Ovis aries: one gene and its partner. The protein of the gene in region 2 purifies or fractionates together with the protein of the main gene of each other region. This does not show direct contact. Links are inferred from orthologs where the notes say so. Each region holds a gene or a part of one and is shown on either strand. Other genes may lie near its edges. The genes, in order: SAP130 and SUDS3.

What was found.
Region 1: the proteins of SUDS3 (region 2) and SAP130 purify together in Homo sapiens (affinity purification with western blotting; 3 studies listed by BioGRID, with this or other methods). This does not show direct contact. The link is inferred for Ovis aries from reciprocal best matches to the Homo sapiens genes SUDS3 and SAP130.

What each region holds. Positions count from the first base shown.
Region 1 is NC_056055.1:117,480,139-117,483,957, forward strand, and holds part of SAP130 (histone deacetylase complex subunit SAP130), read left to right. Parts: intron 1-3,467; coding exon 3,468-3,770; intron 3,771-3,819. UniProt on the Homo sapiens protein: Acts as a transcriptional repressor. May function in the assembly and/or enzymatic activity of the mSin3A corepressor complex or in mediating interactions between the complex and other regulatory complexes.
Region 2 is NC_056070.1:56,874,567-56,878,385, forward strand, and holds part of SUDS3 (sin3 histone deacetylase corepressor complex component SDS3), read right to left. Parts: intron 2,940-3,819; coding exon 2,834-2,939; intron 1-2,833.

The DNA of each region.
Region 1 (3,819 bases), on a different chromosome or scaffold from region 2:
TGCTGGAGATTCAGGTTCAATCCCTGGGCTAGGAAGATCCCCTGGAGGAGGGTATGGCAACCCACTCCAGTATTTTTACCTGGAGAATCCCATGGATTGAGGAGCTTGGAGGGCTACAGTGCATAGGGTTGCAAAGATTAGGACATGACTGAAGTGACGGCACGTGTATGTAACTGTATATACATGTGTGTGACTATAGGTGTATAGCGGAGAAGGCACTGGCAGCCCACTCCAGTACTCTTGCCTGGAAAATCCCATGGAAGGAGCCTGGTGGGCTGCAGTCCATGGGGTCGGGAAGAGTCAAACACGACTGAGCGACTTCACTTTCACTTTTCACTTGCATGCATTGGAGAAGGCAGTGGCAACCCACTCCAGTGTTCTTGCCTGGAGAATCCCAGGGACGGGGGGGCCTGGTGGGCTGCCATTTATGGGGTCGCACAGAGTCGGACACGACTGAAGCGACTTAGGAGCAGCAGCAGCAGCATAGGTATATAATCTATATATTTTGCAAGGAATTGCTCCCTCTCATATTGTTCCTGAAAATTCACTTGTTGCAGAGGTGTTTTCCGTTTCATTCATTCATTTATTCATTCATTTATTAATTCCACAAATATTTATTGAAATTCTATGTAAGATCCTATGCTAGCTCTGCTTTAAAATTGACTTATAAACAGATGTTGCTTTCAACAAGCTGAGAGTCTAGTAAGGAGATGAGGTGTGAAAAGATACTATAATATGCTCAAGCTCACAAGAGAGACTTGAGCAAAGCCATGCTGTTTCTGAGTTAAGAGGTTATTTCTACTTGAGAAGGTCGGGTTGGAGGTCAGGAATGATTTCCTAAAAGAAATGACATTTGGGAAGCATCTTTCAGAATGGATAGGGCAGAGCCATGGTAGGACTGGAGAAAAGCACATTTCTGTCTCTGAATAAAGTATTAACTAAAATATGTGCTTGAAAAAACAGAGTGGCTTCGTTTTGGTGGAAGCCTAGTGTGAGTAAGAATGCGAAGTGTGGAATAAGATTAGATCTTGCTCAGTACTAGAGAGTCTCAATGCCTGTGCAGGAGACACAGGATCAGTCCCTGAGGTGGGAGGATCCACTGGAGGAGGGAAAATGGCAGCCCATATTCCATGGGAGAAACCCATGGATAGAGGAGCCTGGCAGGCTGCAGCCCACAGGGTCACAGAGAGTCAAACACGACTGAGCACACACGCACACACGGTGTGGGTGAGAATATAAAGTGTGAAATAAGATTGGGTCTTAAAAAGGCTTGTAGTAGTAACTAGACTGCAGGTTCTATAGCAGGCAAGTGACCAAAAACTGTTGTGTAACAGAAATACCATGGGTATACTGCTCAGGAGGAAACTAGAATGCTCTGGAAATTGTCTATGTGTGTATTCTACAAAGGAAGAATTGTACTAGAACAGGGACTTTTAAGTTTACGTGTTCTATCACTTCATTATTCTTAATGCATAATAACTTACCTTTTTATTTGTCATTTATAAAACATTTTTATTATATTATTAAAATTGAAGTATTTGTTGTTCAGTCACTGAATCGTGTCTGACACTTTGCCACCGCATGGACTGCCATGCCATGCTTCCCTGTCCTTCACTATTGCCCAGAATTTGCTCAAACTCATGTCCATTGAGCCATCCAGCCATCTCATCCTCAGTCATCCCCTTCTCTGCCTTGCCTCAATCTTTCCTAATATCAGGGTCTTTTCCATTGAGTCAGCTCTTCACATCAGGAGGCCAGAGTATTGGAACTTCAGCATCAGTCCTTCCAGTGAATATTCAGGATTGATTTCCATTAGGATGGACTGATCTCCTTGCTGTCAAAGGGACTCTGGAGAGTCTTCTCCAACACCAGTTTCAAAGCATCAGTTCTTCAGAACTCAGCCTTCTTTATGGTCCAACTCTCACATCTGTACATGTCTTACTGGAAAAACCACAGCTTTGACTAGATGGACCTTTGTCAGCAAAGTAATGTCTCTGCTTTCTAATATGCTGTGTAGATTTGTCGTAGCTTTTCTGCCAAGAAATTCTAAAATTCCAAAATTGAGATATAATTGACATACCTTAGTTTCGCATGTACAGCATAATAATTCATTATTTGTCTGTATTGCAGAATAATCACCACAGGTCTGGCTGGCATCTGTCACTATACAGTTCCAGATTGGTTTTTTTCTTGTGATGAGGACTTTTTAAGATCTACTCTTAGGAACTTCCAGATTTAACTGGTATATTTAACTGTAATCATTATGCTGTGCATTATATCTGCATAACTTAATGTCTTTAACTGGAAGTTCATGCCTTCTCGCTACCTTAGCCTGTCTCACCCGCCCTCTGCCCTTGCCTGTGGCACCACCGGTCTGTTTTCCCTATCCAGGGGCTCGGTTTGTGATTTTCTGCATTTTAGATTCCATATGTATGTGAGATCAGATGATGTTTGTCATTCTCTGTGTGACTGACTTCACTGAGCACAGTACCCTTGAGATTCATTCATATTGTCACAGATGGCAGTGTTTCAGGTTTTTTTCCTTTTTAATAGCTGAGTGTTATTCCATGGTGTGTGTGCATACCATGTCTTCTTGATCTACTCGTCCACTAGTGGACATGGATTGTTTCCATATCTTGGCTATTGTAAGTAACACTGCAGGGAACATGGAAGATACGTCTATCTTTTTCCAGATTTGTTTTCTGAGAAGAAAAGTCTTGTTTGTTTTCTTTCCACAAATAGTGAGAAATCCCTTCTTTTTTTGTTTCTTCCTGGGAATGTTTGTGTTTTCAGTTCTGTTGTTGAGTCAGTTTTTAATGTACACGGTAGCTGATTGAAAAAGGACAGGTTGATTGTTCTCTCTCCCAAGTGCATATTTTAGAATTTAAAATTAATAACTACTGTATTTCAGAAATTCCTCTGATAGTGGTTCTTCTATCAATTAAAGCAAAGATTCTTGACTTGGAGGCATGGATAGATCGCAAAAGTTTGTATTAATTATTTCATAGTTGCCTGGCTCACATTTGGCTTTTAATAAATGGTTGCTTTTTCTCATTTTAATGCTATTTCTGCAGAAAGATCATCTCAAATTAGTAGAAAGTAAGGTGGAGAAAACATCAATGCTTAGAGATTTATATAGCACTTTCTTTTTAAATTGAGAGTTTAGATCTTGAACGTGGAAAAATTGTTTTGATTTCTGAGTGTTTTTCTCCTTGAGTGAGTGAGTGAGTGAGTGAAGTCGCTCAGTCGTGTCCGACTCTCTGCAACCCCATGGACTGTAGCCTAACCAGATTCCTCTGTCCATGGGATTTTCCCGGCAAGACTACTGGAGTGGGTTGCCATTTCCTTCTCCAGGAGATCTTCCCGACCCAGGGATTGAACCCAAGTCTCCCACATTGTAGGCAGACGCTTTACCGTCTAAGCCACCAGGGAGCTAACATTCTTGTCACTTTCTGCATCATCTGTAGTTTCAGCTCAGGCTCCAAACTCTGCCATCACAGCTCAGACTGGAGTAGGGGTGGCATCCACAGTCCACCTGAACCCCATGCAGTTGATGACAGTGGATGCATCTCACGCTCGACATATCCAAGGGATCCAGCCAGCCCCCATTAGTACACAGGGGATCCAGCCAGCCCCCATTGGCACCCCGGGGATCCAGCCAGCCCCCATCGGGACACAGGGAATTCACTCAGCAACCCCCATCAGCACCCAAGGACTTCAGCCTGCACCAATAGGGACCCAGCAGCCTCAGCCCGAAGGAAAGACTTCAGGTAATTTTAATTTTTTACATGGAACTTGGTATGGAGAGAAAAGATACGT
Region 2 (3,819 bases):
AAGAAGTCCCAATTCCAGCTGTAAAGAGGCACTGCTGGGGAGGTGGGGGTGGGAGGCTCAAGAGGGAGGGGATATACGTACACTTATAGCTGACACAAGGTGCTGTACAGCAGAAATCAACACAACACGGTAAAGCAATTATCCTCCAATTAAAAATAAAGAAAGAGTCACTGCTTTGAGTTATTAATAAAAGCCAGGCCGGAAGGTTAAATCCACCCGTGCACGTGGGTGGTTTCACTGGATTCACTTTAGCAGCCCCAGATTTAAAAGTGAGGGGAGAAAATACAGTCCACTGGCACCATCAGTGAGTCACCTTAAAATCTCATCTACTTTCACAGTGCTTTCTAAGGAGGGTCATTAGTACAAATCAAAACGTGAGGAAAACCTCCAGCAGGACATAAAATATCTTAAAAGCAGTATACCCAGAGGCAAGGGCAGATGCTCATCTTCCCAAGTGAAACGTAGCCTGATAAATAAGTGTTCAGGCCAAGATGGGCAGCCCAAATCACACTCCTTGTGCTGAAGTCATTTAAAACTCAATGAAATGTGTTTTGCCAGAAATACCGTTTCACAAAAATACTTCACGCCACCGGCAAGAGCAGAAAGCAGTTCAGCAGACCTCTCGGCCATAGGCCAGGACTACTGAGAAAGAAGGAAGAACGAGAGCCTCCAAACTGACAAGGACACGGAGCCAAACATCATGAGCCTGGTCAGACGTGAGAGGCCAGTCCGGCACTGGGACTGTATCAGCCAGGATTCTGGCAAACACTTGCCAGATCCAGCGGACTGGGAGGGGCCCTCTCTCAGCAGATGTGACGTGAACTCTGACCAGCAAGGCCACAGAAGAGGAACACAAAGAATGCAGAAAACAACAGTCATCATACTTAACCACAGAGTAAGCAGCCTGAAAGTCACTGAAATTACCAGATGCTCCCAGACACTTGAAAGATCTCTGCTGCCACTGGGAGAAAGACAGTGAAATGCCTTCCAAATGCTTAGGTGGCTGGACACATCCCACCTGACCACGGTCTACACCGTGAAACCCCCGTCACTGTGGATCCTTTCTTTAGAAAAACAAAGAATTTTATTTTACTGCCTTTTCATATCCTGTAAATCTGAGGACGAAGCCTTAGGAGAAGGAAGACAGAAAGCGACGCAATGACAAAATGAACATCATCTGAAATATCACAGGGCTTTAGGACTCACAGATTCGTAAAGATGTTAGTGATAAATCTCATCATTTTTGAAGATGGTTCTTATGTGTGGGCTTGATCTTTAAAGGTTATTTGGTTTTCATTATTAGAAACATTTTTCATCTTATTTTGCCCCTTGATGTGTTGAGTTGTCAGGGCCTGCCATCTAGTGGTGATGTGTTCTGACAAGCAACCCTAGAAAACAACACAACTGGCCTTTTAGAAGGACACCGAAGAATCAAATGACAGGAGCAGAAGTCACCAAGATCAGGCTAACAGACAGATCCAGCCTTCATCCTCTACTGGGTTATTAACTCACTGTAACCTCACGGGTGGAACTGATTTACTTCAGGCACCACTAGGTCTCTGAGCATTTTTACCAACTTCACACATTTAATACTGGGGCTTTTTTTTTTTTTTTTTAAAGAAACCTCAAAACATTCAAAATAATCATAACTAATTTTTGAATTTTGGTTTAAAGACTGAAACTCAAAACATTATATAACCATTATAAATGGCAATTACAGAGACCCTACAATAACCCAGGGAAACATTCTCCATACAAACAAGTAGAAAGGCAGCATGAAAACATGTCCACCATGACTTACCCTGACCAACAGTATGCCTACACATGGGCAATGAATAAAAGGAAGAATTGAGAATTTAAAGAAAAGGTGGCAGGGTCCAGGTGACCTGACACCTAGCAGATGCCCAGTCACAGAGCAAACAGTAGGAAACCTTTACAAAAAGAGCAAATGCATGAATAAGGTTTTTCATATTGTTTTGCTATTTCCTTCCAAAGACCTCAATGGTGGCCTGAAGGTTTCAAACCATCTTCAATCTAAACTAGTAATGGTTCAGGCTACACCTCTCCCAGGCACATTCCCTGAAACACTTGTGCTGCAGGATGTGGTGTGTAACAGGGTGCACACATGCTCAGTCACTCACTCATGTCCTTCTCTCTGCGATCCCCCCAAGCTCCTCTGTCCATAGGATTACCCAGGCAAGAATACTAGAGTGGGACACCACTTCCTCCTCCAGGGGATCTTCCCAACCCAGGGACTGAACCCACATCTCCTGCACTGGCAGGCAGATTCTGTACCACTGAGCCACCAGGACAGCCTGTGTAAAAGGGTACCTTGGTCAGATAAACAGTACTGAGTAACATCTCATAAATTCACAGTGTACATTAGCGTATCAGAAGACCCAGAGTGCTACAATGACGAAACCCACTGATCTTAGTTATTAGTTAACACAGCCACGGCCCACACTCACCTGACCACAGAATCTTTTCTTCCACAGAACCCCTATTAATTTCAGCATGCAGAGGGCCCAGTTAAGGGGAGACAGAGGGGGACATAAACCCTGACCCCAGGCTACAGGGGCACCACAAAAGATATAAGCCTGCAGGTTCTAGCATGGTGGCAGCAGCATGATCAGAAGAACATGTTTTGGGGAACACTGCCTTCAGAGATCTAACAAGCAGCAGATATCCAAAACTCCTGACACACTTAACCTCCCTCCACCTTTAGTTAAGCAGCAGCCATGCTCTGAAATAATAACTAGAGACAGACCTGGCCCTCTTCCCAAACGGTTCTTTCGAGATACTAATGAGTAACCTATGTTCACACAGAACTTACCATCTTTTATCGTAGTACAGTTTGCCGTCTTCTATCCGAGCTTCAAATCTCTGGGCTGGAGACTCTGCAGGGGTGGTGGGCAAGTGTTCAGGAGAGGATGGGGATGCTGGAGGAACCAAAGAGATATCCCCATGACTAAGCATGTCACAAGCATGCGAGTCCATTCACTAACATGCTTTAAGTGAAATGCTATTTAAAAGGGGGTAAGGGTCCTCGTGATCCTCAAGTTCTTACCGTTGTAATAAATGGAAATTCAACAAAATTCTTGTACATCACATCCTCAAAACAACTCTGCGAGCAGGCAAGGCAAAGATTAACCTCCCCACAGAAGAGAAACTGAAACCTGAGGCTCAGGCATGCTAAGGATGTGCCCAAGGTGACTGGGGGTAGGACTAAAACACCACTGACAGTAAGAAGCTCCAGTGGGCAAGAACTGGAAAAATCTCTTTAAATTTATAAAAATTAAATGTCTAGAAATATTTATCAAGAGATAGAGCAGGTTACTGGGGTATGTATCGAGTCAAGCTAAAAGCGCTGATAACTAAAATGGGATCAAATCATCTAAATTCACAACCAGCCCCACCAGGCCTTCAGACACTCAGAACTTCTCTCCGGACCATAGTGGCTTTCAGGAGGGAATTATTTAGAGTGGCAAGAATCTTGTTTCCTTTCACAAGACTCACCTCATGGACGGATGTGTAAGTAATTGCCATGTTTAAAAACAACAACAACAAAAATGCCTTGCCAGTTCAGAGTTCTATTTTGCAGCCTAGCAAAGACCCTTGAGTGCTGCTCTGAATGAAGCACCCTAAACACTGGGCCTGTCTCTTCTGTAAGCTGGGACTGGGAGTAGCCTGAAAGGCCCTTAGGAGAACCAGCCTGTGAAAAGCCACTGGATAAGCACGCCTCGTGCTGAACTCTACCAAGCGACTAACACTGAAATATCCTCTGATTTCATTTTCAGAAATGGATCTGTGCTGACATCT